Drosophila melanogaster: one gene and its partner. The protein of the gene in region 1 purifies or fractionates together with the protein of each later gene. This does not show direct contact. Each region holds a gene or a part of one and is shown in the gene's direction. Other genes may lie near its edges.

What was found.
Region 2: the proteins of HemK2 (region 1) and CG31199 purify together in Drosophila melanogaster (affinity purification with mass spectrometry, with the first as the bait; one large-scale study listed by BioGRID). This does not show direct contact.

The regions. Positions count from the first base shown.
Region 1 is NT_033779.5:2,754,757-2,765,849, reverse strand, and holds HemK2 (HemK methyltransferase 2), read left to right. Parts: upstream 1-6,172; 5' UTR 6,173-6,202; coding exon of another isoform or gene 6,203-6,607; 5' UTR 6,608-6,625; coding exon 6,626-7,300; 3' UTR 7,301-7,423; downstream 7,424-11,093. Other genes in the region: Snx21 (sorting nexin 21), read left to right, coding at 348-354, 423-566, 652-1,345, 1,409-1,544; Tnpo-SR (Transportin-Serine/Arginine rich), read right to left, coding at 2,639-2,699, 2,762-4,126, 4,180-4,346, 4,542-5,633, 5,704-5,817; Snapin (SNAP associated protein), read left to right, coding at 6,203-6,607; Bacc (bacchus), read right to left, coding at 9,556-9,605, 9,680-9,842.
Region 2 is NT_033777.3:20,738,402-20,749,228, reverse strand, and holds CG31199 (uncharacterized protein), read left to right. Parts: upstream 1-5,359; 5' UTR 5,360-5,463; coding exon 5,464-5,644; intron 5,645-5,701; coding exon 5,702-6,402; 3' UTR 6,403-6,429; downstream 6,430-10,827. Other genes in the region: Prosalpha4T1 (proteasome alpha4 subunit, Testis-specific 1), read left to right, coding at 211-960; CG42322 (uncharacterized protein), read right to left, coding at 1,214-1,392, 1,457-1,865, 1,926-2,408; CG31200 (uncharacterized protein), read left to right, coding at 3,906-3,957, 4,026-4,142, 4,265-4,950.

The DNA.
Region 1 (11,093 bases):
TGTATTAGAGCTCATAAAAATTGTAGCCTACTAAATCATTATACAATTTATAGAAATATTTAATATTATTCAAAAATTTAGAATATAGTTATTCTAAATGTTCCCTAAGAGCCATACCCGCGTAGGGTGTTACAGAGGCCGCCTATGCGGGATTCACACGCACAAAACAAAGGCCTCCGTCCCACTTGCAATGTTTTTGTTTGGGGCGGAATTAGTCACTGTAAATTGACTCAACAACTATGCCAACCGCATAATCCGCCGTAAACCAGAAGCGAATTGCAAGTGCCCAGCTGCGGATCGAAAACAGCAGCCCAGCGAGAAATCACAAAGAGATTCATAGAACCCGTATGCCCAGTGAGCACAGTGAAACCTCCAATTAGCAGTTCGTCGTTCATTTGGTTTCGTTTTTTCTTTTACCCCAGTTCACGCCGTGATGGCCAAGCGCCTGCACCACCAGCCTACCTTCGATGGGGATCCACCCGGTCCGGATGAGCTGGACAGTCCAGCCATCGAGGCGGCGGCCCTCGACATTCCCCCTCCCGAATCCGATAAGGCGCTCCAAAAAGGTTTGTGTAACCATTATCTCACACTCGCAAAATATGTAGGTACAGTGGATAATCTCTAAGGCGAATATTGTCTGTATCTTCTTAGGTGTCTGGGAGCGAGCCACAAGTGCTGAGTATAAGCCGACCACGGATGGGAGCACCGTGCTCCGCTTTGACATCTTGCTGGCCCACATAATGCCGCCCGATGGCGAGGATGTGAAGATCAAGCGGTTCGTGGTCTATGAGCTCACTGTTAAGCAGGATGGAGCCACGGAGGACACTCAGCCGGCAAAGATTGAGCGCCGATACACCGACTTTCGGGAGCTTTATCTGGGCCTTAAGCGGCAGCATCCGGCGGAGATGGCCAACAAGTACTTCCCAGCCAAGGTCCTGATGGGTAACTTCAAGTCCGAGCTGATCGGCGAACGGAGTGCAGCCTTCGAGGCATTCCTCACGTATGTGGCAAGCCAGGCGATGCTCCGGGACTCGGAGTACTTCCTGCGCTTCCTGCAGCACGACGAACTGACCAGGGCGTGCCAGTTTCTGGATGAGCGGCGTAACGAAATGGCCATACCTATTCTGGAGAACTGTTTCCGCTTGCTGAACAAGATATACATGAATCGATCGAGGCCGGTGCTTTTGATACTCTGCCGTCTAGTGGCTGCCTGCACCTCATCCCCAGTGCCTCATCACGCGGCCGAGAGGTGGGCCCTGCTGGCACTGAGTCGCTTCGAGACGTTGTGCGATATTGATCTGCTGCCGCTCTACATTCCCCTGCTTCACACCTGCGCCCATCTGTGGTGAGTCCAATCGAATCTTTCCGCATTAAGAAAAAGGCTAATCTGAATATCTCATCCTTTCAGGTGGCAGCGCGGCCAGGACCAAAAGCCAATCACCGACCGACTGACTGACATGTCCAAGCAGGGCATCAACACGGCGAACACCGAGAGCCTCATGCAGGCTATACACAAGATCGATCCTCGCACTGAAACAATTTGAATCGTGAATCTCCGCTACAATTTTCATCCATTAGTTTAATATTTTGTTCTGTAGTCTTTAGCTGTCCGGCGAAAAGTGCAATTAGATAATGTGTGCAATTAGTTTTAAGGTGAAAGAAGTATTTATCAACCTTTGAGGTAGAGCCCATATGTACCCCCTTTGTCCTCCAAAGTAGTCCGTTCGTGCGAACAATGTGTCACAAAGCATAACCAATTTAAGACAACAATTAAAAAAAAAAAGTATGTACGTCTCTTCGTCTAAATGTTTAATTCGTTATTTTAAAACTCTGATTTTCAAATTAAAATGTTAGATTTTTATAACTAAATCAAAGATTTTCAAATAATTTAACTAAAATTGGTTCTTATTAATAGCTTACATTAATATTGCGACTAAATGTAATTCGAAACAAAAAGGTTCTGTTCGTAACGTACTGCTTTGGTAACTTAAAGGTTAGTCTAAGCATATTTATGTTTCATGTTACGTATTGTTTGATATCTCTTCAATCGTCTAGTTTGTAGTTTGTACCCAGTGGGAGTTGTGATTAAGCCGTGCAACGTACATAATTCACAAATCCATCATCGAATGTCCATGACGCAGTGTCTCAAAATCCATGCCCAGAATTCCATATCAGCCTGCGGAAATATCAGACAAGTCAAACGAACAACGCAGCTCCCAGACTTTTTTGTTTTTTTTTTCTTCCAGCCCAATGTCTTGTGATTGCTTTTTCAATAAATAAATATTATACTCAAGTGTTTTGCAGAACAAATGTGGTCAATTATATCTAAATGGTATATATTTAATGGTTTGCCTTATGCCTATGCTTGTTTGTGAGTCATTTTAGGTTTTAAACTTAGAGCTAGGAGTGCACGCTGATGTAAATAACTTACTGCTAAATTCTGTGAGGATCTCTTGACCGCACTCAAAATGTACAATTCAAATTATATATAACTTATTACGTCAAACAATCGATTCAACTATATTATAAATAGAGGGGTACGTGCGTTTTTAACAAAATTCCTAGCACCCTTGCCACATTACATACATCATTCAAAATGTACAGAATCATCCGAATCCAAACTCATGCATCTCCCTGATTAGCGAAAGAGTCGCGTGAAGGTTTTCAAGGCTTGCGAAATGGCTTTCGTTGTGTCCGCTCTACAAAAGGAAATATAATATATTATGAATAAAATACAAAACGTCTGATGGCAAATCCTCACCTCAGAACTGTGCTGCTAAATTCGTCCAGCTGTTGCTGCGTGGCTGTCACGTAGCCACCGCTGTTCTTTTTGGGCAGTGCCTCCAGCGCCTGGGCCAGGAAGGGCTGCATCCGCTCGTTGCCCACCACCTGCTTCAGTTCGTGGAGCACCTCGGCCACATCCACCAGCATGTAGGAGTGCAGCTGAAAGACGGATGCCTGGATCAGGTTCATCACCAGAGCACCGCCATGCTGACTGGCCAGCTCCACCACCAAGGGACGGCACTCGGTGTTCCGGCTATGGTTATTCGATCTGCCCCAAACCAACAGGTTGATAAAGAACTTCATCACAGACGAGTTGGCCTCGCGGTGGTCCAAGGAGCAGGCTATTAGCGCACACTGGAAGATCGGCGTGATGAGACTGCTCTGGAGCAGCTGGTGGGGACAACAGTCCAGGTAACGCGATGCCAAACGGAAGAAGTCATCCACTGTGTCGGGGTTATTTTTTAGACCGTTCTCCATCTGAAGCAGGCCAAATGTGGGCTCTATAAATGCCTGAAGCATCTCCAAAAGTCCGCCAATGCACTCGCTGGACTTTGCGAACTCGTCCACCAGTATGGAACCCACGTAGAGGAAGCAACTGTGGTGCTGCACAGAATACAGCACGACCATTTGTTTGATCAGCGGTTCCACCAGCATCATTGCTTGCTTTCTCACCATCCGAATGCCGTAGCGAATCAGTCGGCAGGTGCGCTCCATGATACGCAGATCACTCTGGTACTTATCCATCACCCGCGATATCAGCTGCCAGGCGTCGTTCAGAATAGCTACCGTGGGGTGCTCCACGTTGTCGGGAACGTCTGGATTCGTGTGTCGGATAATGGCGCAGGCGCGGTCTATCCAGTAAACGGGATCGGTGCGCTCTCCCTTTTGAGGAGTACTGCCAGTGCTGTCCACCAATTGTGCCAGTGGTTGCAGCTGGAAGCCGACGATTTCCCGCAGAGCAGGCTGCAGTTGCTCGCGTGGCAGGCGTGTCAGTATAAGCGATATGCCCTTTAGCAATCCTATTGCCACATCGTTGTTTATTTGAAAGCTGTCCAGACTGCGGGCGATCTCCACAAGACCGCTTATATGGCACACCATCTTCTGTCGGCAGGCGGAGCAAATGGAAGTCAATGCAATGGCCGCAGCTGGCGCCAAGCCATTTTTCTGCTGCAGGGCGTACAGCAAAAAGTTTAGGACTGCCTCCAGCGATTCAGGATGGTTCTCAATCCAGTCGCACAGTTCGCCGATCAGTAGAATCGCAGTGTACCTAACTGCTATGTGCGTTTGCTCCGACATATTGAGAATCGCCTCCACCACCTTGGGGATCACTTCGTTCTCATCTCTGCAAGGTAAGTATTGTAAATCTGACATGGTAATAAACAGCTGCATACGTACGGAAGTATATTTTTGGCCACGTTCTGCATAATGAACAGTGCTGCCTCTGTGGACTCCCACGTAGTTTCTGGAGCTTGCAGGATATGAAACATTTGCTTGAAGCACGCTCCAGATCCCACTATGAAGGCCACGTCTTTTATTAGATCTGAGACCTTGCGTCGAAAGTCCTGCAATTCATTTGTTTTAAGATTAGTACAATTAACTTCAAGGCATTATATTAATTTAACGTTGATAATGTAGAAAACTAATCAAACTTCTTGTACTCATTTCTAAATAAACCGACTCTAGCCATAAATGCCTATTCAATTAAAATACCCAACTTCAAAGAAAACTGCTAAAATTTCTCAATATCACACACTCACAAAGAAATTGTTGTTCTCCTCGATGAGCCCGTCGTGGTCGCTCTCCATTTGCGAGTGGCGAAACAGGGCGCTGATCAGCCGCTCGATGTGCGGCCGGAATAGAACCGTCAGCTTATCCTCGTTGCGCTGGAATAGATCCTCGGAGAGTTTGTACCACAGGTGGAAGGTGATCTCGGCCACCTCGTAGTCGAAGTGTCCGACGCAAAGCAGCACAAGATCCAGTCCTTTCAAACTGTAGTGTGGCTTCTGGGCATCGGCCAATAAATCGTAGAAGAAGGCATCGCACAACGAGGTGAAAATTCGGCAGTAGTTGATCGTCTTGTCGGTGTCCTCGTGCGCCACACTCAAGTGATAGGGAGTCTCCAGCATGCAGACAGCTCCAAAGAGTTGTGCCTCGAAAGAGGACTCCGGATCGCTGGCGCCATCCTGTCGTGTGTTTATGCAGGAGAGCAGCGCACACACGCATTCGGTGGCATTGTCGTGCAGTTTTCCACTGGTCTCCGGCAGCGAGAGCAACCGGAAGGCCAGCTGTGTGAGGGCGTTGTTGTACACGTGCGAGACGGGAAAGGCATGGATCACCAGCCAGGCACTGTAGGTGCGCAACGCCGCATTCCACACGCGCTGCTGGTCGAGATCCTCCCGCTGTAGGCACATACACAGGAACTTTAGGACACACTCTGCGCTGGCGTCCAGCTGCTTGTGCACCTCCTCGCGCCGATTGGCGCCCAGCCGCAGATACCGTGAGTCTATTTCCTCGGGAAGCACCTTGAGCACCTCCAGCAGGGGCCAGATGGCGCACTGATGTGGCGCCAGTGTCACCAGAAGATCGTTGATCGGCTCCCGCCAGCTGGCCATCAGCAGGGCCAGATCGGCAACCGCCAGACTGAGCTGCGTCACAATCACATTGTCCGTCTGCTCGTCGATCTGGCCTATGTGTGTGATCAGTGAATCCCGCAGAGATTCGTGCGTGTGCGGTGGCAGTTCGCTGAAGGAGTTCTGTATCTTGTTCCGCATGGTCTGCGCAGCAAAGTAGTTGGCGTGCAGGTCTCGTTTCTGGTGAAGCAGCTCGTCCGCAATCGTCCAAGAATAGATCTTTAAGGAAGTCCAAAAAAAAACTTAGCAATCGCACGAAGGTTTCGTACACCGGGCGATTATCACTCACCGACTTCTGGAAGTCCTGGAGCCATTTGTTGGCCTTCTCCTGCTCCTTGGGATTGTTGCCTTGGAAGAGGGCGCTGATTGCTTGGTACACCACGTCCACCGAGTACGTATCCATTTCATCGGCAGCTTTAATCAGCGCATAAAATTTCTTAATTACTTATTATTATACTTTATTAGCGATGGCTGATTGCGTACATCCCGTGTATCGATAACGCAAGGAGGTGGCATGCGATAACTTTGAAAGGTGAATGTCCGATAGTCTGCAGGACTTTTTGAAATTATTCAGGGTTGTCAAGTGCGTCAAACATTAAGGACCATTAAAAATAATTAAAATATTTTTACAGTCAAATATTTTTTAGCTTATGTGAATTCGTTTTTTGAGCAATAAAGCTACTCGGTTTTTATATCTTAATACTTGCCACCCCTATGTAGTCGATACATCGATACCATTGGTTGCTCGCAACAACATCTCTAATCAGTTTTCTGATCAGAATTCTGCAATGGATTCGGACAGCACCGTGACTTCCTTGGAGGAGAACACGGAGAACTTTTGCACGAATCCCACGCGCGACATCCTCGCCGAGGGCATCACCAATCTCTTCAAGCCGACGATCGAGCGGTTGGACGAGCGCGTGGCCTCCACCATCCAGCTGCAGGCTGAGCTGCGTGGCCAACTGGATGCACTGGCCGCCCAGCTGAGGGACATCGAAAAGGCGCAGAGTCAGATACCCGAGTTCGCGGACAAGGTGAAGGAGCTGCTGAACGTCAAGCACAAGGTGACGGTCATAAGCAACGTGTTGGTGACCAGCCAGGAGCGGCTGACGGGTCTGCACAAGCTGATAGAGAAGGAGCAGCGGCGGCGACAGGCGCTTCTCGATTCCGCGCTCAGCACCAACATATCCTAAATCCAATTACTGTTCGTCATGGAGACGCCCTACACCGACCACTTGAGCCCAGAAGATTTCGAGCACGTTTACGAGCCAGCGGAGGACTCGTTCCTGCTGCTGGATGCCCTGGAAAAGGATCTGGAGTACCTGGACCGGCTACAGCCGAGTCTCTGCGTCGAACTGGGCTCCGGTTCGGGTGTGATCATCACGGCGCTGGCCAAGAAACTGGCTGGCTTTTCGCTGTGCCTAGCTACGGATATCAATCCCAAAGCCTGCAATGCCACTCGAAGAACTGCGACTCGGAATGGCGCTCGCTTGGATAGCATTCGCTGCAGCCTAGCGGATGCACTGCGTCCGCGATCCGTGGACGTGCTGCTCTTCAATCCGCCCTATGTAGTCACCAGTGACGAGGAGCTGCAGACGCAACAGTTCGATTCGCACAGCGAATCCTCAACGGATCGCAATCTGGTTTTCTCCTGGGCTGGTGGACAGGACGGGCGACGCGTCACGGACATTCTACTCAAGCAATTGGATGACATTCTTTCGCCTCGAGGCGTGCTCTACCTACTCCTGCTGCGGGAGAACAAGCCGGAGGAGATTATCAAATACTTAGAGGGCCTCCAGTTCCGGGCTGTTAAGTTCATGGAGCGACGCATTCCTGGCGAGCATTTGTGCATACTGAAGGTCACCAGGTACTTGGCATCATCATGACTCGTGCAATAGCATCAAATTAAAGTTGTATTTTAATTAAAAGATAAACTTTTTTAGGCGTTTATTCTTAAATTTGATACTAAATAATATGGAGAATAATTTTAATAAAAGTTGAAATAAATGAAAGAAATGGCTTATGAAACTTAAAAGCTCTTAAACTTTTAGAAATTTTTGCGCTTATATTTGAATTTGAATATAAAAGTAGCTCAACTTCATTTGCCCAACGAAGAGCCCGGAATTTCATCATTCGTTTTTTTAATAGGCATCTGCTAAGGCTAATCGATTTTCAATCCGAAAAAGGTACTTAATCAAAGGAAATTTCCGATTGAATTTTTCCATCATCCCTTAGTATATGATTTCTTTCATAGGGAGGATTGTGGGAACCAGCTCGTCAACCCCCGAACGAAAACTGGGATATGGAAGGGATGGATCGGAGTAATGTAGGGGCGGCCAATCTATGAATTATGTACCTACATACGTACATGCTCCTGGCTAAGAACTACTACCCCTGGGAACACCGAAGCGAGGTGATTGCCCCACCCAAAATGGCCAACTGCAATTGAAACAAACTTTTATTGGCATCGGAACAGATGCCAAATGGGTGGTATGTACGTACGGTTTTCGCTTTTACGTAATTACAATAATTTATTTCATCGTTCAAAATTGTTTCTTATTCTCGTTTTCGATTCGTGGTTCTTTTCTCTTTTTGCCCTTTCGCGCTACTAGATGTTATTCTCGCACGGAGCAGATACATGAGTAATTGGTATTTACAAAAATGCATAGTTCTTTAACATTGTCTGTGATATCGCTATTGTTTATCAGTTATCAAATCGGATGATTTATCTTGGGCATATTGGTTTAATTGCACTCAATTATTCAGTTGCTGGTTGGCATTACCAGCTTTAAGCCTCTTGGAGTTTGGATCTGGGTCAGTGGGTGGATTGTGTGTGTATGTTGGGCTGGTCTGTCTTTCCGGGACAAATCGTTTAGATTCGAGGATGGTGGTGGTTGGGTGGTTTCGGTGTCGAGTGCCGTGATTGACCAGCTGGGCACGATTCGTTTTGAAATATCAGTCGTTATATGTTTATATTGAGAACTCGTCGTACGGGGTGTGTGTATAAATAGTTTGGATGCCCTTACTAATTAGATACATGTAACATTAAAAGTTTATTTTCTTGCTCGTTTTTCGATTCTCGAGTTGGTTTTTACAATTTACAAATGAATTAGGCTTATCAACGACTCGCTCGCACAACTTATCAACAGAATAATAAAGCCCTCGCTTTAATACTGACATAAGTACTTAAGATTAGTCATAGTTTATAGTTAAATGCTGAAACGAAACAGAAGGTTAGAACTCAAACTTCCCGATGTTTTCCTTTCATTTTTTTTTGTTTTTTTTTTTTGTATTTGCCCCAAAAGCGAAGACCAACTAAGTCCCAGTGCCTTGGGTTTGGGAAATTCGGGTGACTGTGGCCACAATGGGCGCGAAATTTTTGAAACCATAGCTAAAACTTGAGTGTCATTGAATGCTTGTCGAGTATGGGGTTTCAATGATTTTTGCGATTTATTTAAATACAATTTTTATGTTTTATTTGTTTTGTATTTAATTGCATTTGCTGTTTCTTTTTCATGTTCATAATCATGTTCATTTTCAAATGTTCACTTTTGTATTTTTGCTTCTTTCGATCGATCATTCATTCACAAATGTAACGTCTAATTTAATAATGAATTTGAATATCGTGTGTGTGTGTGAGTGTAGTGTATCTGTGTTTAATTCGCGGGCTTCGTTTACGCTACATTTGAAATCTTTGTATATCTTGGTTTACGCATCAACTGGGCGTTTAAATTAGGACTTATGAGATAAAGGAAAGAAAGATTTTGGTTTTGTTTTGTTCTTGTATATAGTGGGGATGTTTACTTTTTGTTGGATTCCGTATAGGTTGCGTTTATACGAAAATGCCTTCAATTACAATTTTTGTTTGTTTTGTAGTTTTTTATAAAAAAAGTACACATAAAATACAATTAAAATAAGGTAAGAAATAAAAAATTATTTCTTAAACATAAAAATTATATACTTTTGCGATTTTTTTGTGGTTTTTTTCTCCTCCTCCTCCTCATTTTCTCCTTGTTGTGGTTTATTTTCTGCTTGTTGGTTTATTATTATATTTTTTTTGTTTTGTTTTTGCTTGTAACTTTTATTTATTATTAATTTAAATTTTTGTTTGTTTTTGTTTGTATTTTTGACTACATTATTATTACGCCTGATCGTCCGAGCCGGAACCGTCATCATTATCATCATCATCATCTGCGCGGGTAAGGGAAAGGGAAAATCCGGGGATTAGATTGATGTGGAAAAGGGAAGTGCTTCCGTGAACTCACCATCACATTCAATGTCATCCTCCTCACCATCGTAGGGGATGTCGTACTCGTCGCTCTCGATTTCACTGTCGCCCTCGATGATTTCCTCCAGAGCCTCTTCCTCATCGGAATCTCCATCGGCGGCCGCGGCCTTCTTGGCCTTCTTTGATTCTGCGGATTTGGCCTGGAAGCGAAAAAAGAGAAGTTAGTAGAGTTCCTTTGGTTTTTGTTCCGCTGATGATTTACTGTATTACAAGCAAGTTTATTGAACAGAAATAAGGGGCCCGTCACTATTAATTATGCATTTTTGATATTAATCTGAGAAACAAACTAAAGGATATTAGGGAGAATTACGGAGCGAAATGGTCCTACGCGCCCAACTCAAACCCACACATCTCCTTGATCAAGGGCATCCAATACCCCTCTCAACTTCCTGTGCGTGTGTACATAGTCATAAAATGTATATTTTCAGCACACAAAACAAGCAGCGACGAAAATCGTTATTTTCGCCGTAAAAAAACATTTGAAAAATGCGCGCGCCAATGTAATTCGCTGCGGCAAAAAGAGACAGCGGGAGAGAGAGTACGTGAGAGAGTGGATTACAAGTGCAACCGCGCTACATTACATCTGTGCTCCGTATGTACAAGGCGACATATTTACTACATAAGGGGGAAGGAAAAAAAAACAATAAGCAGCGACGCCGGCAGCGACATATGTATCCGCATCCGTGAGATACGAAACGAAGCGTGCCCTGTAAGATAGAGAGCGGGCGAGAGCGCCAGAGAGAGAGCATCTGAATCCGCAGCACTGTAAACTGTACCTGAACTGCATGAATGAATCTCTCGCTCTCACTCACAGCCATCCGAACGACAGCTGCTGCAGCGACGTCGGCAGCGAAAAAGGCGCAAAACAACAACATGCGTGGGTTTAACTTTTGCCGCTGACCAACCAACAACAAGATACACATAATGGTATATGGTTTATGGCAGTATATAGGCGGTCACGTTCCCAAGTCGAAGAGAAGCCGCAACACAAGGGCCCTATTTACCAGACTGTTACAAAGCGGAAGAAGCGAAAAACAATCGGACTGTGGAAAAATGTGCAAAATTAATGGCCACCCATCGCCCCCCTTTTTCACTTCGCTTACAGCATAAGTCACGAGACCCAGAACTCGAGAAAAGGCCAATAGAGGATTAAGACGAACAGGGTGTATCTGTATTGGCAAGAACTAAGCCTACTATTACTGGTGTTATAACTGGGTAATCAATGTATCTTGATTTAGTTAGAGGTTTTAGTTTGTGTTTTCTAAGCGTGAAGATACATTTATAGGGACAAAAGCTAATCTGTTGTTTGGAATCGAAAGATATGGAAACCAACGAATAATTTTCAAAACTATTCTTGAAATCTATACAATTCGTTACTGTACCACTAAGAA
Region 2 (10,827 bases), on another chromosome or scaffold:
TATGGGGAGTTTTGTAAATAACTCAAAAGAAATTATTGATTTACAAAGAATTGTAATAACATATTATTATCATAATCATTACACTATGGTGTAGAAAATAAAGGATTTTGACTTCAAACTTCAAATGTAAGAAAAATTCATATTGTTTCAAGTAAATAACTTGTCACAAGCAAATTGTTGTTTTGTTTTGCCTGCTAACTAACCCAAAGGATGTCCTCACGCTACGGTCGAGCTCTAACCATATTCTCGCCGGATGGCCACCTGTTGCAGGTGGAGTACGCCCAGGAAGCTGTTCGAAAGGGCTCCACAGCGGTCGGCGTTCGTGGAGCCAATTGTGTGGTGCTGGGTGTGGAGAAGAGCTCGGTGTCCGAGATGCAGGAGGATCGGACGGTGCGCAAGATCAGCATGCTCGATCGCCACGTGGCGTTGGCATTTGCCGGTCTCACGGCCGATGCACGGATCCTTATAAATCGAGGGCAGGTCGAGTGCCAGAGCCATCGACTCAACTTCGAAAACCAGGTGACCCTCGAGTACATCACCAGATACCTTGCCCAGCTCAAGCAGAAGTACACGCAGTGCAATGGACGTCGTCCTTTCGGTATATCGTGTCTAATAGGAGGCATTGACGCCGATGGCTCTGCACGTCTCTTTCATACCGAACCATCCGGGATATTCCACGAGTACAAGGCGACCGCCACTGGGCGTTGGGCAAATACTGTGAGGGAGTTTTTTGAGAAGGCCTATAGCGATCATGAAGTGACAACCAAATGTGATGCCATCAAACTAGCCATGCGTGCCCTTCTCGAAGTAACCCAGATGAGCCAGATGCGCCTGGAGGTGGCCGTATTGGAGAATGGCAAGCCAATGAAAATGCTGGACAGTGTAGTAATTTCGGAAATAGTCAAGATCGTTCAGAACGAAAAGGAGCTCCAAGCGAAGGCACATAAAATGAAGAGATGAATTGCTACACCTACAGATCGTTGATTTTTTATGTTCATCAAATTGTTATTAGATATTCATGTTATATTGTTTTGGAGCTTTGTTTAAATTTTGTTGTTTTTGTTTTGTTTTTAAATTAATTAATATACAGTTTTAACCATGTTTTGATGTTTGTGAAGGATTTTATCTTTGTATAATGCAGTAATTAATTAAAATTACACGACTTTAAAATTATAACTTTTAAATTTCAAATATGCAGATATAAAGCACTCACTCTAACGCCCACGAACTGCTCGTGCAGGATCACCCAGGATAGCAGGTACACGCATGCCACGTTGGTGGCGAACAGGGCCAGGGCATCCGTGGCGTAGAGGACGTGCAGGGACAGGGTGTACAGGTAGGTGGTGACCAGCCACAAAATGCAGAAGCAGAGGCAGCGATTGAGGAAGCGACCTGCGGACCAAGAGCCAGTCAAAAGAAAGTTTTCATAGGTGTCGCACGACTAAATCCAACTCACCCACTGTGAAGCCGCGCTCCCGGAATCCTCGCAGCACGTCGCCAAGGATGTCGCTCAGCTTCTCGCACTTGCGGGTGGAGACCAGACCCAGCAGGTAGATGGGGAAGAAGAGCAGCGAGAAGTTGGTGAAGAACCAGGCGGCGAAGAAGGGGGCGCTGAAGTAGACCGGCTGGCGCGGTGGTATGTTGAACATCTCGGTGGCGTCCTCGACGTGGTGCAGCGACGAGTCGCTGATGGCCAGTATATCCTCCAGCTCCGTGCTCAGGTCCGCGCGGCTCGAGGACGTGTCCTGGTCGTCGTTCAGCAAGTCGTCGTACGGAGCACGGTACTTGTACATGTACTTAATGCAGTGGGTGGCCCCCACCCACGACGCGGTCATCAGGATGGTCACGCACACTCCGAAGTACATCTGTAAAGACATCGATCGCATAGCATTAAAATTGAGTGAATGATTCATAAGTTTTCCCACCTTCCGGGCCAGTTCGGAGCAGCATGACTCCTTGCAGGCCTGCAACTTTCGGAAGCGAAGCTCGGACTCCTCGCCGTGCCCGTTGGCTTGCTGCTGCTCCGTCTGGGTGTCGCTGGAGTCGCCGCCTCCGAAGTGGTGCGCCGCATTGTGGCTGCCCGGTGCGCTCGTTGGTGTGTCCGCCGGGATGATGACCACCTCATTGGGGTCCTGTTGGCTCGACGATATCGAGTCTTGGTGGGTTATTTGCGGATTGCTCGAGGTGAGCACGTTGCTGAACCCGCAGCTGCCCGCTGCTCCGCTGCCACTGCCGCCGTTTTGGGCAGACGAACCGGGGGCCACTGCCGTGCTGCTGCTGGCTCCCGCCCCGCCGGTGCTATTGTTGCTGTACGGTCCATTCGTCGAGGAGTCGCCGGTGACCACCACGGAAGGAGTGCGCACTCTTTTCGGATTGAAAATAGCTGGAATTTCGCCGTCGCGCGTCATGCTATCATCATTACCGAGCTCCTCTGTCGCTCATAGTGATCCGGTCCTGCAAAATCAATAAATCATAAATACCAGAATCTAGCAAGCTTATTCTTTATGTATATTTTTGGCCTTAATATCACCTTCCATACCTAAATGTATGCCTTCACTTTTGAACGCAGAGTAAACTTAAGGTTGAAACTGGACTTGATGTACTTTTTAAAGGAAGCAATAGTCCTCGGCCCGCGGCCTAATAAATGATTCAGTTCGATTCGACCAGCCATGTTCCAGCACTGCTGCAAAGGCTAAGCAGTCTCGAATCAGGCTGTTCACGTGCTTCCAGCGATTAAAGATTGAGGAACACGCAAATGGGGGGCCATTTCTCGACTCTTTACAAGTGAAAGGCGCACCCAAAGCCCACGCAGCTTGTTCAGGGTCCGAGCAATTTGCATGGGCCCCACTTTTTACCACTGCCCTCATCCCAGGATATAGCGTTGGCCAAACTCAAGGCTAGGGCAGCCAAGTTTTACGAGCACCGCCGCACAACCAGCCAACCAACCAACCAACCAAACAGCCTGCCAGCCGGCCGTTCATTAAAGTCCAGACCCGACCAGGAGCACATTGATTGGATGGCCACAAAGGCGAGGGACGGGCTCATAACAATGCGAATTATGAACGCCCCAGCTCAAGCAGGTCAAGTTGAGTGGACAATAAACTGCCAACCGGATCTCGCCGGCAATTTGTAAGCGTTCTTAGTAGAGTGTTAAGTCCAGCCCCCCACCACCACTACTACCACCAGGCCGGATGAGTTACAATGTCCTTCGGTGTCCTTCACCTTCGCATCCCATCGAGCAGCTTGTGCGCTTGCCTTCGATAATCGTATTCTAATTGAAACATTAATTATTCAACCTAGTTGAGGCTCCTAGCAGGCTCCCAGGGTAAGAGGGCGCGAGGGGAGATTCCAAGAGTCTAATGGCTATATAATGAAGGTCCTAATAATTGCCTGTAATTTTAAGCGGTTAAGAATAATATTCCATCGATTTCCAAGCAGTCGAGCAAAACCAAAATGATTTGAAATCCGCAACTCTGGCATTTTGCACAATTATTTTAATATGCCTAATATGGGACTATATACAGCCGATATGCCGTCTATTTGAGTTAATAAAATATTTTAATTTAATTTATGATTGGGGAACTCCAATACTAGTTGTAAGTTGAAGGTGAGTTAGGTCTGTGAGCAAATTTTGTTGGCTAAGAAGTGGCATATCTTCATATCTTAATATCTTTAATATGACTTCAAAGAAAGTAGTCAGACTAAGGAAGATTCAAAAAGATTAAGGTTTACCAAAAATGCTTGATAGTCACACTGAGAATCTTAATAATAAACAACGAGAGAGCGGGAGATTGTTAATTAATTATTCACAGCAAAAGGAAACTGCGCTCTACGCGATCTCATACTATTCAATTCAATTCTGTTCGATTAGTTAACTCTGAGCACTTGAGCACATCGTCATAAAAATGCTTCACAGCGGAAAACTTGTTCAGCTTTTGACTCTGGCTTGGCTAGGCGGTTAGTAAAATTGAAACAGTTGTATGTTTACTACGAGTATTTATTAAAAACGCTATATACGTTTTCAGCATTGACGATGGCAGAATTTCGATGCGGTCGTCTGGATGAAAAGCTATTGTACACCACCAACGAGCAGGCGGAACCCTCCGAGAATCCCTGGGTGGGCATTCTGCTGGAGGATCAGGGTCAGTTAACTTTAGAAGTGTTAACTATGAAAAGCCCCCTTCTAAAGCCCCAAGTTAATAATTAATAACATGACCTATGCTTTTGCTAATGCCCTTTGTGTCCACCTTCGATGATTTTCTAGGAAATCGGTACGAGAATACAAGGTGCTCCGTAGTTATTATTAACGAGCTGCACATCCTCAGTACTGCGACGTGCGTAAAGCGCTTTAGCCAACGATCCGGAGACACCAAAGCCGTGGCAATGTTGGGCGTTTGGGACGAGACTGACTCCCCGGAGGAGGAGCTGTCGTGCAACGACAAGGACTTCTGTGTGCCGGGGCCTGAGCTGTACAAGGTGGTGGAGATCAAGGTCCATCCGCAAACGGACAAGGACACGGGGGACAACGACTTGGCCATCCTTCGGCTGGAAAAACCAGTCGAGTGGACCAACTGGGTTCAGCCGATCTGCTTGGAGGGCACTTCGGAACCGGAAACGCTGACCAATCGCAACCTGCACTACACCGGATTCAACCATATGGCCTCGGAGAAGGGCAAGGGGTTGGCCATGACAGTATCTACTCAAAAGTGCAAACAATTGACATCCTCCAGCGTCCTAGTACCGGTGAACCAGCTGTGCGGCTATCCCGTGAAGAGGACCAAGTTCTATCCGGGAGCACCACTGATGGACATCGATGTGCGAGATGAGAAGCCGCACAACTTCTACCTGGTGGGCATTCTGGTCCGGAACGTAGATGCCGGACAGGCTACCACTCAAGTCTATCAGAATGTCCGACGCGCCCGCTCCTGGATAATGGAAAATTTGAAGTAGAAAGTACAACTTGTTATGTGAATACTCAATAAACTATTCAACATGAGGAAGTAAAATGTTGTGGGTTCAGTGAAATAACTGATGCATCGTGACGGGAACTGCCCAGGGATTCGCATCGGAAACGGGTTTTCGATCGGTAGCCGTAATGTAATCTTACACCATTAATTAGATACGTAGAATAACAGGTAGTTGGAAGAGTTAGTTGAAAATTTTAACAAACATTACACGGAAAGAAATCAACTCATTCTTGGAGAAGGGAAATGTGCTGATCAAATAGTATTAGTAACACTAATAGTAATATTTAAAATCTTAAAATATTTTATATAAAGGTTTCGAAATACACTTCACTATTGATTTCATATATATTTTAAAAAATTGTAAAAACAATTGTATTTTCGTTCTAGTGTTCCTGCTAAGCTCTATCGATCATAAGCTTCTGGGTAAATCCCCTGAGCAACATGCATTGTCTGTTTTTCCAGCTCCCAGTCAGTTGACTTTGAGCTGCGCTTCAGAATGCTTGGTAGAATCGCAGTTTTATTATTGCTCGTCGGTCTTTTTGGCCCGGAAGTTCGGTCGGCGAAAGTGAATGATGACCAGTGCGGTGCATTCGACGAAGATCAGATGCTCAATATGCAAAGCACCTTCGCCATTCCCACGGAGCACCAGTGGGTGGCCCGGATAGTGTATGGCAAGGGTAAGAATCTCTGAGCTGCTCAGTTAATCCGAAATACAACTTCGTTTAATACTTCAGGGTTTGAGGGCAAGATTCGGGACAATGGATGTCTGGGCGTGCTGGTATCGAAGCGCACTGTCTTGGCGCCCGCCCACTGTTTTGTCCAGTACAACGGAGTAGCGGAGGCCTTCTCCGTCCACCTGGGTGTCCACAACAAGAGTGCTCCGGTCGGAGTGCGAGTCTGCGAAACGGATGGCTATTGCGTGCGTCCGTCGCAGGAAATCAAGCTGGCCGAGATAGCCATCCATCCGGACTACGACTCGCGAACCTTAAAGAACTCCCTGGCGGTGCTGACTCTTCAGCGAGACGCAAAGATCTACCCAAATGTAATGCCAATTTGCATGCCACCTCCAAGCCTGCTCAACGAGACCCTGGTTGCTCAGACGTTTGTAGTAGCTGGTCTTCGCGTCTTTGAGGACTTCAGACTAAAGACCTGGGTAAACACGCTGAGTCGCGGCTTCTGTCAATCGAAGGTCAAGACGCTGGTGACCAGCAGCAACACGGTTTGTGGCTACCACAAGCAACCGGTAGCTTATTACTTGGGCGCACCTCTAGTGGGGTTGCAGAAGAAGGGGCACGTCACTCAGAACTACTACCTGGTGGGCATCATGATCGACTGGCGCTGGGAGAACAACCGCATCATGTCCAGCTTTCTGGCCATACGCAACTACATGGACTTCATCCGACAGAACTCCAACTCACTGATTGTACGCTCCTGAACCTCGAATAAAGTTAAGAGAAACGCCAGCTGCCAACAGGTCTTGCTGGGGTGTTAATTATTCAGCTCCAAGCCCGAGACTCGTGGCGCGCAGCTCGCAGCTCGAAGCTCGTGCAACATGCAAATTGTTCCTACACTTATAGCATTTTAATGAGCAGTCACTCAGCGCAGCGCAGCCGCCGCTAGTTGGCTAATGCGAGGAATATGGAAATTTCATCGCTTTCACCGAGAACCCCCCCGCCCTATAAAAGTATAAAAGTCTGGCAGTCGACAGGAGACAGCCGAAAATGTTGCAAATACCCAGCAGAACGGAAACGGAAGTCTAGGGGGCTGAATAGCCGAAGGCGCTGGGTGGTGGGGAGCAAGGATGTGGGCTGCCTTGCTATTGGACGAATGCCAAGACGTTGCCTTAACTGACAGAGTTCGAATATGTCTAGGAGGACAACGGAACGCTTACAGAGGGATAAAGTGGATAAATTAAAAAAAAACAAATATTCGCAAAAACATGACTTTATATCAGCAAAGTCATTAAATTCTCTTATCTGTGGGAAATTAAGTAAAAGAAGTTAAATCTTCGGCTGACTTCTTGCTTTTTGAAAATTAGGTGTTATTTGAATTGGCACCGTTTTATGTTTAAATACCAGTTTTTAAAACTAGTTGACAGGGAGTAGTTTTAGTGTAAAGGAATGCAAATAGTTTACCATTTTGATTTTCTTTGTGCACTTAATGGCGTATTTTAGGTAAAAGTTTTGTTTATGAGCTAAAGGGACATTGTTTATATCGAAAATTTTGCAACGAGTGTAGAGAACAAAACAACAAGGAGGATTGAATATTAAATTGCTGGAAAGTTTTGTCATTTATGATCACCCTTCTCTTCCCCGAGGTGTCGTCCAGCTAATACAGACACATCGCTTTTATCGCCGTGTTGGAACATTCTTTTGGGCGCCAAATTGCTCTATAAAGACGAGCTGGGGAAAGATGCGCTCGCTGTTTACTTTTGCCAAGAATAAAAATCACAATAAAATTTAAATTGCCAGACATGAGGGCCTCAAGATGAAGATGGGCAGAAAACGTGACCAAATGACCGACAATAGACGGGGATAAACATCGCATTCCTGCCTCAGTTTGAGGAGAAATGCGATTCAAAACAAAACAAACAGCTGAACGGGAGAGAAAGTGCGCCGGAGAATAGAGAAAGCAGCTCAGTCGCGAGAGAGAGAGAGACTGTCCCACTGAGAGGGCCCACAGCTTTGCGTGGGTGGTGTGCTGGCCAAAAGTAAACGAGCTTACAACAAAAACGGCGAAAAACAGCCAACAGTAAGCGTACAAACACACACCTCGGTCGAGGACACCACGCGGCGTATACGCAATGTGACACTTTTAGTGGTTATGGTCAAGCACAGCACTTGAGCGAGGGCAATGCGAGAAGGAAAACGAAAGTGACGCCAAAAACACAGCCAGTCAGACAGACACCTGCTCGACGGCAAAGGCAACCACAACGCCCGCCACCCGCCACCTGCCACTTGCCACCTGGGACACACGGAAACAAATTGCTAAACCCAAGTTCTATAGGGTCACGAAGGGTGCTACGTAGATTCAGGCGGTTCATTCGCCTTTTACCATGTAAATTAATAAATTTTAATAGCCTACTTAAGGGCAACACGTTTGTTAATTTAATATATTTAAATATTCGGCATCTTTCATGGATTTGAGTGATATGTTTTTATTGCATTCCCATATTTATATTTATTTAGGCACCTAAATGTTCGAAAAAGAATCGCCCGCCAAGATGACTTTATTTCGCTGGCTTGATCTGTTGCGATGTTCGTATGTGAATGTGGTCTTTGGGGCTTTGGGTTAGTGACTAGACCTTGAGGTTGGCGCACACCTTGACAGTAGTCGAAAATCTAGCCCAACCACCCACTTCGCCCACGGCTCAGAAACGGTTGTGACAACCTGGGACGGTTGAATTTTTCATATTGCCACGAAAACAGGGCAAGGGAAATTGCCTGGCGAATATCCGTTTATCTTGGCCAAAAGATAGCGGAAGGCCTGAAAAGTGTTTTTCCATGCTGCACAGCTGTCGCTTTGAATGTCTCCGAGTTTTTAATGGCCAGCGAGGCGTTTAATGTTTTTATATAATTTACTTAAGCACTTAATGTCATTTTCCCACGGCACGACCACATGGTACACAAACTTTACGCAATTCGTTGGCCTTCTCGAGCTCTTTTCTCTTATATAAAGATAGCGAGCGGGCCGAAAAGAACACAACTGGACTGGCGACACTGTTCTCCGCGGTCGAGCTCAGCCCTTTACTTAATTCAATTAAATGTGCAAAAATATGCTGGGTATAAATTTGGAGCAGCTCGCCAGCGAAACGCTGTACGGATACACAAAACGAAGGAAGCACACACAGATACACACACGCACACGCAGGCACACACGGGGATACACTTGCTCACATTTACACAGGCATTGGGTCTCACTCACGAGCGAAACGAACCGCTGGCTTGGCCCAAAAAAAGCAACTGCCACTTGAACGAGCCTTTTGACTTGTTTTCCTTCGACTTAGGTGGAAACTGTGACAGCAGCGTTTCTGGCGCTAGCTGCCGCTGGCGTTTTTCCAACTCTCCTTTTCTAGAGCACACGACGCGGCCGTCCTGGAAAGCGTCGTTCTCCGTCGTTTCTGGCCAGCAATCTCAAAGTCGACTGAACCGATTACTGAACTGAGCTGCCTTGCAAGTGGCCAAGTCGAAAGCTTTTCCTGTCTCTCCCAGCCTCTCTCTCTGAGCTACGCTTTCCCTCGCTCTCTTCGGTTTGGCAAAGAAAAACACTTGTTAGGAATTTTCTTTGCTCTTTTCTTTTTGCTTTTTGTTTTCGTTTTGCTTTTGTCGTTGCATTTCGCGGCTTCAAAAGGACTCAATAAATTGCTTGCGATTTGGGCTGATAAGGATTTTCACATTTCGTGATTGCCGGAGCAAAAATAAGTTATATTAAGCCAATAATATCGCTTTGCTTCATAGAAAAAAACGACAAAGAGAAATTTATCATGGCCATTTTATATTACTTTTCCAGTTAAGCAACTTCTTGTGTGCATAGATTTTATTTTGTTCTATTTACGTAGTCTAAAGAATATTATATTATTATATTTAAATTAGTATTAGTAAATGTTGTTTGTTTTATGCAACCAATTCAGAATTGATTTAAGGGATTACTACTAAAAACTTTTTGTTTTGGTGTCTCTTGATTGAGCAATCTGTGCAAAAGGTAAAACTTTAATTTATTATTTTAAGGAGCTTAACACAATTTTTTATTTCAAGCAACATCTTTAGAAAGTGTGATATTTCTTTCACATGATTTCCCTTTGACGAAAACATATCATATCTCCATGCTCCAATTTCATCAGTAATAAAATTTGACAAATTTGTCAAATCTATCTAATGTGTCTATTTAGGGCTGCCACCACAATCAGCATAGTTATGCCATAAAAAATAGGAGCTGCCTAGACGGTGCATCCATTAATACACCCATATGTTTATATAGATCGTAAAATCTTGATAAGGAGAAGACCCCATAAGCATAAATTCGTCAGGAGAAAGCATTTCGCAAGCCGACGACTCATCCCAGACAGCTTAGCATAAAATTTCGAAATCAGAACCCGCCAGCAAACGAGTTTTTCAGTCGCAGCCAAGAACTGAATGGCGTATTAATTGTGTAATCTATAAAAATCCATTTACATATGCATGGGCGAGATTGGCAGCTGCCAACGAGCCCCGCGGGAGATATGAAGATGGTCTCCAAATTGGGTTAGTTGGCTTAGTGTCGGCATGAGTTAGGGCCACCAACATGGCCATAGCTTTGGAAATGATCTGGGGCTCGGGACAATGCCATTACAAATCAATTTGGCTAAGACTGTGGCTAACCGTTCTGTGAACCAATAAAAACTAATCCAACGAGCTGGTCAAAAAGACAAAGGCATCACCGTCGAGCTGTTGACCACTGATTTCGCGATTCGGATGAGTTTCAGTTTCCCTTCGACCGGGAACGGTAACGGACGCATTCGAAATACTATATAGTAAGCCCGACGAACATATTGTATACAGCAATGCAGTGGCAATTGTTTACTGCCCTAGTGCTTTTTGTAGCATGGAGTTGTCCTTCGCAAGGAGTAAGGATATCCGCAAACGAGATGGAGCGACGCTTGCCGCAAAAGCAGGCAAAGATTGGGTGAGCAAACGTTGACGACTAACAATGAAGTTTTGATTTTCGACAGATATGACATTTATATAACCACTTTTTGGTATTTTCTGAACCTTATTTAATCCAATAATTCATAGTAGATTATTATTGCATATTATAGATATCACATAAACAATTCAAACAACTATATGCTTATATAGGATACATTTTTTTATAAAACAATTAT